Cricetulus griseus: one gene and its partner. The protein of the gene in region 1 purifies or fractionates together with the protein of each later gene. This does not show direct contact. Links are inferred from orthologs where the notes say so. Each region holds a gene or a part of one and is shown in the gene's direction. Other genes may lie near its edges.

Evidence for each region. Proteins that work in one complex are often made in the same cells at the same time.
Region 2: the proteins of Pam16 (region 1) and Dnajc19 purify together in Homo sapiens (affinity purification with mass spectrometry; 3 studies listed by BioGRID and IntAct, with this or other methods). This does not show direct contact. The link is inferred for Cricetulus griseus from reciprocal best matches to the Homo sapiens genes PAM16 and DNAJC19.

What each region holds. Positions count from the first base shown.
Region 1 is NC_048600.1:42,041,052-42,045,235, forward strand, and holds the start of Pam16 (mitochondrial import inner membrane translocase subunit TIM16), read left to right. Parts: upstream 1-1,384; 5' UTR 1,385-1,398; coding exon of another isoform or gene 1,399-1,537; coding exon 1,538-1,540; intron 1,541-1,843; exon of another isoform or gene 1,844-1,950; intron 1,951-4,184. UniProt on the Homo sapiens protein: Regulates ATP-dependent protein translocation into the mitochondrial matrix. Inhibits DNAJC19 stimulation of HSPA9/Mortalin ATPase activity.
Region 2 is NW_023276806.1:115,389,220-115,393,439, forward strand, and holds the start of Dnajc19 (mitochondrial import inner membrane translocase subunit TIM14), read left to right. Parts: upstream 1-1,420; 5' UTR 1,421-1,571; coding exon 1,572-1,574; intron 1,575-2,519; coding exon 2,520-2,571; intron 2,572-2,651; coding exon 2,652-2,725; intron 2,726-3,415; coding exon 3,416-3,495; intron 3,496-3,755; coding exon 3,756-3,826; intron 3,827-4,220. UniProt on the Homo sapiens protein: Mitochondrial co-chaperone which forms a complex with prohibitins to regulate cardiolipin remodeling.

The sequences.
Region 1 (4,184 bases):
TAGTTGTGACTCTGATTCTATGGGATATCCAGAGCAAACCATAGTGGCAGAATGCAAATGAGTAGTTTCCAGGGTAGGGAAGTGACTGCTGGGTGGAAGGAAATGTTCTAGACTGGATGGTGGTGAAGGCAGAATTGAATTGTGCACTCCAAAAGGTCCAACTGTTTAGTGTGTGAACTATGGGTGTCTTGACAGAACTGTCGCAAACACAGAGACCAGAGAAGATCTTGTGAAGACTTGGAGAGAAGAGAACCCTCTGCAAGCCAATCAGAGACGCTTAAACAAACCTGGCAACATCGAGACATAAAGATTCTATAACGTGCAGGGTGGTAGTGGTGCACGCCTTTAATCCCAGCACTCAAGAGACAGAGGCAGGCAGATCTGTGAGTTCAAGGACAGACTGGTCTACAGAGTTCCAGCACTGGCTAGCCAGGGCTACACAGAGCAACCCTGTCTTGCCACCCCACTCCCCAGGCTCCCCCCCAAAGGATTCCAGAACTATCTTTTAAAACACACCCCTGTTACGATAAATCTTTCCTCCAAAAGCTGCCCGAGCCCCACCGCCACGTGTGCTTTACGCCAGCCGCCTGCCCGAGTTAGGGCCCAAATTAATGCACAGAGAGACTTGTATTAGGTACAAAGCTGCTTGGCCAGTGACTAGGATTCTCATCTGTTAGCTCAGTCTTAATTATCATAAATCTATATATTTTATAAGACTTATCAGACACCTTATTGGCGTCCCTCCTTGCCGGTGGCTCACATCCCGCCGCTGGAGGAGGTGAAGGGGAAAGGGAAGACGCTTCTTGTTTCCTTTGCTTGCATGAGTCTCCTTGCTATGTCTCATCCTGCCTGGATCACCACTTCTCTACTACATTTCCCAGAATCCTCTTTGACTCCTAGTCCTGTCTAACTTGCTGTTTCATGGCCAAATTAGTACTTTATTCAATAATCAATAAGATGAACATACACAGTACATTCTCCATCACACCCCAGTCCATCTAAAGCAGCAGCGTGGTGGGCATATCAGTGTAGTGGGGGGACTTGATGGACTTCACTGAGAAGAAGGCTTTACATTATAGACTTGAAGTGGGTGGAAACTATCCCATCTGGTATCTAGTAGTTTCACAAGCAGGAGGAATCTGGAATTAAACCTATTTTGAAATACCTAGTTTCTTAAGTATTCCAGAGAAATTGACATCCAGCCCTTTATTACTTTGGCTTATTTCATATGATGGCTCCTTCCTAACTATTTCGGGGGAGATGAAGGGAAAAAAACAACTTGGTGCACCAGTTCCAAGGCCACCGGAGGTTTGCAGCCGCCCATCGCCCGCCCAGTAGTCTTCAGATCCCGAGGCAGGCCCCGCCTACATACATACCGGAAGAGTCACGCCCCTGGAAATGCGTCGCGTCGTCGCGTCGTCGCGTCGTCGCGCACGCGCTCTCCAGTCTCCCTTGACCTCTGACCCACCGGCAGCCCCAGCGCTGGTCCCACTGGGTCCGGGAGCGGCACCCGGCCCTGTGAGGCGGAGCGGCCGCCATGGTGAGGATCGGGGAGGGAGGTCGAGTCAGAGTCGGGAGGCTGGCCCCGGCCCCCACAGGAAGTAGGGTCTGTGGCGCGTCGTGGGGTCGCAGGCCGTTGACTCTCGGGCAGGGACGACCGCTGGCCGGGCCTGGGAACCGAGGCTCGGCCGGCAGCAAGCCCCGGCGGGGTCCAGCCTCCGCGGGCCGGGCCCCGGCGTGAGCAAGCTTCTACGGGCTGTGGGAGGAGGTGATTGTTGGGTGGGCCGGCTCCTGAGTGGTAGGACTCGGCGATGTCGCTTGGTTTTTTAACCGCGTTTGACAGTTGGCTCCTCCAAGGAAGTGGTAGTCCTGGGACCTGAGCTGAAATCGAGACCTGGAGGCTGAGTATTTGTGGGAGACCATGCATGTCGCCTGTGCAACCTTTAAAAGGCAGGTTCTTTAGTTTTGCCCCTAAGTAATTGGAAGGCGGTTGGTTGGGGGAACCTATTTATTTCCTTGTCTGCTTATGTACTTATTTGAGACAGGGTAGCACTATAGGTAGCCTTGGTTGTCTCCTAACGTCCTATTGTAGTAGATCAGACTGGCCTTAAACTTGCTGAGCTCCACTTGCCTCTGCCCCTGGCTCTCCAGTGCTGGCATCAAAGGTGTGCCTCATCACACCCGACTAGGGAGCCTGTTATTTAATAATTAGAAGGTGGCAGTTAACTGCTTACAGTGCTGTGCCTGGAGCTGAGACTTTATGTAGATTGTCATTTAATCTCTCTCAGTCATCCCCATTTTACATTCAAGGGACCTGAAGTTCCGAGAATTTGACTTTTCCAGGTTCTTCTTTTATGCAAGAGTCAGAGGCTGTTTTGGACCCAGTTTTGTTGATTTGCCACCATATTATCCCTGCCTTGTAATTGGGCCACCGACATCTTGTGAGGACCTGTATTGATTGCTCGTACCTTGCATTCTCCATATTCAACTCTCAGCTTTTCTCAGGCGGTCATAGTGGCTACACTTGCAAACCCAGCACTTGGGAGGCTGAGGCAGGAAGATCAGGAGTTCAGAACTAGTATGGACTTCATGAGTTCCAGGGCATAGCTCAGTGTTATAATGCTTGCCCACCAGGGGAGAGGCCTTAGATTCAATCCCCAGTACACCTCCAAATAGGAAAAGAAGGTATAAATGGGAGGAGTCTAGAATTTTCACCTGGGAGTCAGATTATGGCGTATTTTTCCAGCCCTGAAGGTTGTTAAAGGTTTTTGGTTTGGAGCATTGTCTTGCTTTGTGACTCAGGCTGGCTTCAAACTCTAGGGATCACCCTGCCCCAGCCTCCCAAGTGCTGGAATTAGGTATGTGCCACCACCATGCCTTTGCTTTTTGGGGCTTTTTTTTTTTTTTTTTTTTTTTTTGCTTTTTGAGACAGAGTTTCTCTGTGGCTTTGGAGCCTGTCCTGGAACTAGCCCTTGTAGACCAGGCTGGTCTCCAACTCACAGAGATCCGCCTGTCTCTGCCTCCCGAGTGCTGGGATGAAAGGCGTGTGCCACCACCGCCCTGCTCACCATGCCTTTGCAATGTTGCATCTTGACAGTATCTAGGTAGGAAGGAGGGTATTCACAGTGAAGGAACTCAGAGCATAAAGAATCATGAGAGCTTACCTAGAAGTAAAGGGTACAGTTGCAATGGGGGAAAGGTAAGAGGGAAAAAATCCAGAGAACTAAGATGAGGTCAGAGGTGAGAGATATCAGTGCCAAGCTGACCTGAATATGCAGACAGGAGCACTGTGTGAGAATTGGGCAACCACCAGAGCCTTAACTTGGCAGCATTAGAAGCATATGGAAACCCTGCCTGGGGAATGGAGTGTGTGAGATTGCAGCTTTGGCCAAACAGCACTTAAGAGTGACTTGATTAAAGTGTTAATTCATGGACAGTCACACACTTTCAAGTATATATTGGGCACCTGCTGTGCAGGCCTCTGGGGACCCAGAAATACTGTCACAAATGGCACCATATAGTCCTGACCTTCCTCCTGTCTAGCAGTGACACCAGTAACTATTAAAAGGGCTCAAGGGATAACCCAAGTTCCTTCCTGTCGTCAGTCTGATCCACACCCAGGGCCTGCTACTGTGTATTGGAGGAACATTGTACACAGGCCTGAAAGTTGGGCCCTTCCTGATGCACTTCGATGACTTAAGCCTCATTTTTGCCCACCCTCCAGCGCCCCCCCCCCCCATGAACCTTGTCTGAGGTCATATTCCCAGATAGGAAAGGAAGTGAGTTGCTAACAGCAGGTTTCAAGGTTGAAGCCTTGTGTTTATAACTCCTGCCCCCAGCTACTGCTTGCCTGGAGTGAGCTGTGAATTGGTTGTTCTTGGCCTGGGACCTTGAGGCCTGTCAGTGAGTTAGAGCTGTTGGGGGCTTTCTTAGAGGGCCTTCTAGTGGACTGTAACTGGCAGAGCTTTGCTCTCCCAAAATCTTCCACTTTGAGCATCACCTGATTGCCAGACTATTAACACCAAACAGGGTCTGGTCTGGGAGCAAAGCCAGCAGTTGAGCTCTGATTCTAGGATGCTGCTGTCTGTCTACTCAATTTTGTGTGCATTGCCTCCCAGGGCCTTACACCCCTCCTGTATGGAAATATATTATTCTCTTTATTTTGCAATTTAAAAAACTGGTAG
Region 2 (4,220 bases), on another chromosome or scaffold:
TTTTTCCAAAAGGCATGTTCAATTTCCTGCTTCCTCTGTGTCTGGCTGACAGCTCCTCCTGACTCTACCCTTCTTCTTCCCAGCATCCTCTCACTTATGCTCTACCGCCTAACCTCTTCCTGTCTAGCTATTGGACAGTCAGTACTTTATTAACAATGAGAATAATACATATTCACAGTGTACAAAAAGGATTATTCCACAGCAGGGGCAACACTTTAAACAGTACATCTTAAGAAGAAATCATCTTCATAATAATTCACAGGTAAAAATGCCTGGGAGAATGGGATATTTCCATAAGATAATCTTAAAATAATGTGCATTCCCCCACACCCATTCACACCATGCCAGATACCAGGAAAAAAAATGGCAGTGTCAAACATGCAAAGACACAACAGTAGAAAGAGACATTCTGGGACCAAGGCTATCAGGGCCTTACCTATCCGAGATTCACCCATCAGAGCTTTGCTTCCTGGTGGGCTGATCCACTGAAATCAATGGTCACCTGTGTCTCTTCTGACATGGCCACTGACACTGGATCCTGTTGCTATGACCTCCTCTGTCTCAACTTCTTGGAGCTTATGGCCTACAAACTATTCATTACTGCCAAACCCCTACAATGTGATTTTCGAAAGCTCACCCTAACCTCTACCACTTAAAAAGGAACTGTTCCAACAAGCAATGCTTGGGACACTACTCAAATATTTGCAAAATGATGGAACCACTTGCCTAATGCTGAACAGAAAAAGCAACTCACATTGGATCAAAGCCAGAAAACTACAAAACCCCTAAAAGCAAACCAAGGGTAAATCATACATGACATTGGCCAACCAACCATGTGCTCAGGGCAACGCAGATACAGCAGTTCTTTTAATTAGAAAAGTAGTAGCACGGCCTAAAACAGAACGATACAGAAAATAAACAATGAACACACAGCAGTTGTGTTCTTTAGTGAACAAATTCGTGTAGCCTAAAGAAGACACCAAGAAAGGAGATGGAAAAATTAATTTTCCATACAATTTTTGACCTACTTATAGACCTAAGTTCTATGTCAAAAGAAGAAAGGTATCTCTGCAGGCCATGAAGATCAGCGTCCTGGCTTCTTTATATTCTCTGGCCACAGAGCACATTACGTAGCCAAAAATGCACTGAGACATAGCACGTGGATAGAAAACAAAATGTATCATGAGAATATCTTCATCTGATAAACAGCGCTACTTTTATAGGATGGACGGAAAAACCTATATAAAGCAAAATTAAGGCGGTATGTTTTAGCCTGAAAACTCATTTTAGGGACAGGCATTAGACTTCCAAATCTTCAGAAGCCCAGGGTTGAGGGCACGGCAAGCCCCGCCCACGTCCGACCTTCGAGTCAACCCGAGTTGCTGGGCCCCTTTTGCAGCACCTTGTGCGACAGTTCCTGAGGCGCTTTTCGGCGCTGCTGCCGTGTTGCGCGGCGTTGGCTGCTGGACCCGGCGGCGGCGTTGGCTGGGCCGCTGCGCTCTCCACAGGCGTGCTGTGGCGGTGGGCTCGCGCTGGGATGAGCGCGCGCTGCCGGGCCGCGGAGCGGAGTCATGGTGAGTGGCCGGCGCTGACGGGCTCGGACGTGGCGCTCCGGCCGGGCGGAAGCCAAGACAGACCTTTGCTCCGGCCTCCCGCGGGCTCCAACCCACACCCCGATCTCCGCTGAAGGGAAACGTTCGCGCCTCCTGGGAGGTCGACCTGTTAACCCCCACAACAAATCCTTAGTGATGGAAGTGCCCTGTGAGAATCTTTCAGGGAGCCTTTGCAAACACCTTTTCCTAACTCAGCAGAAATCTTATTTCCACCGCTCTTGTTTAAACTTTATTGAGGTTCTAGTGCCTGTGGGTTAAAAGTTCTCTTCGACGTCTGAAAAATCGCCCTTTTTGTTGCGGAGGTTGACTTACCCTTGTTAGCGAAAATCCCACACCCGACAGTAAATTGTGTTATCAAAATTGCAGTTTTTTGTTTTTTTTTTTTAATTTTCGAGACAGGGTCTCACTATGTAATAACCCTGGTTGTTCTAGAAACTCAAGAGATCCACCTGTCAATGCCTCCCACGTGCTGGGATTAAATGACATTAAAAGCCCACCATCGTGCACAGCGTCAGAATGCAGTTTTAAAGACTATATAATATATATAATATATATGGCATATATATTATATATATTATATATTTTCTTCCAGCAGGCCCGGTGCTGCGCTGCACTCTATTTAGTGCACCTACTTAGGACACTGAGGCAGAAGAATCGCAAATTCATGGCCAGCCTGGACAATTTAGCAAGACCGCCTCAATATAAACGGAACTTTGACAAAGGCTGGAAGAAGTCCCACCAGTATAGCACCTTGCATGTGTAACACCCTAGATCTTACCCCCACCCCCAAAAGGAAAAAAGAACCCACCTTTCACTGAGATGAGCTCAGGGTTGTGATGAGTTTGGATAGAAAATTGGTGGCAGTTAGAGAAGTTAAGATTTACTACTCTTTCCCTCCTTTACCAGGCCAGTACAGTGGTAGCGGTTGGACTGACCATTGCTGCTGCAGGATTTGCAGGTTTGTTTGTTTGGGGTGGGGGGGTGGAAGACTAGACTGGCTATGGATTAATTTGCTTATTGTATTGATTTTGGTTTTAGGCCGTTATGTTTTACAAGCCGTGAAGCATGTGGAGCCTCAAGTAAAACAAGTTTTTCAAAGCCTACCAAAATCTGTAAGACTTTTTTTGCTAAATGTATTGCCTGTATCTCAAGACTGGAACTGCCCTATAGCCTGAATCCCACAGGTCCAGTGAGGAGTTGCAAACTTTGTAGTGGTGCCACACTAGCAATCAGTTGTCACATGTGACAATGCAGGGTGGGTGACTTTACAGGGTTATCATCTGTCTACCACCTGTCTTCTGGGATCTGCTGTGTCACATGAGACATATGTGGCATTGCCATGCTGTTGAATGTAACTACATTAAAACAGCACACACAGCTGCTGCCCCTCACATCATGGACAGCTTGGGCAGCAACATTAAGACCTTGGTGTCCATTATTTCCTGCTAAGGTTGAGGTCCTGGTGGACCTCACTACCCTCATTTCCCCTGCACTACCTACCATAAACTCATTTTTAGGGGCTGCCTTGAATCAGGTGTGATACTGCTGTTTTATGAGAATAAGGGTGACAAGGGTCTCCATTCACTCCTGATTTTGTTCTTGTCTTTTATCTGCAAGACAGTTTGTTCCAGTTTGGCTAGAAGAAATGAATGTTTAATACTTGTTATAATAGTTACCACGCATCAAGCTAAAATACCTTGGGAAATATACTTGTAGGTCTCTGAAACTTTTTTTTTCAATTGATTTAACCAACCTTCCATTTAGTTCACTAATCTTTCCTTCCAATCCAATTTTCCTTTCAGGCCTTCAGTGGTGGGTACTATAGAGGTGGGTTTGAACCCAAAATGACAAAACGCGAGGCAGCATTAATACTAGGTGTCAGGTAAGATTTCTACTAGTTATTAATATGATAAAGGATAAGGTAATTCCTGTATTTTCCTGTAATTGCAAATGAAATGTTGAACAAGGATTGTCAGGTCAACTACATTTAGTTTTGTTTTTAAGCACTGTTTTGTTTTAAGCACTGGTTCTGATTTAGAAAATGCATTTTACATCTGTGTGAGGTTTATAAACAGTATTAAATCTGGCCCTTCTGCATAGCTGTGTATATGTGTTCAATTTATGCTTCCATTTTCAAATTAGCCCTACTGCCAATAAAGGGAAGATCAGGGATGCTCACCGACGGATCATGCTCTTAAACCACCCAGACAAGGGTAAGTAACCATGCAATTTTCATTAAACACTGCTATTAATGGGGAAACTTAATTCTTGGTCTAAATATACAGATGAGTAGTCTCCCAGGTGTCTTAAATAAGTGAAATCCACCAGATATGGTGACATACACCTGTAGTTGCAGTACTCAGGGACCAACCTGCCCTGCAGTGATACCTTGTCTCACCAAAACAAAGGTTTAATGAACAAAAGAGCCATTGAGTTGGCAGTAATAATAAACATTAATACTGCTTTTAGGTTCTGTGTTTGATAAAATGTCTTCCAGTAAGGAAGGTCACAAATACTATTTTGGTTGGCTTGTTTTTAAGACATCTTACTATGTAGCCAAGGTTGGTCTAAACCTCATGACCATCCTCCTGCCCCAGTCCTAAGTGT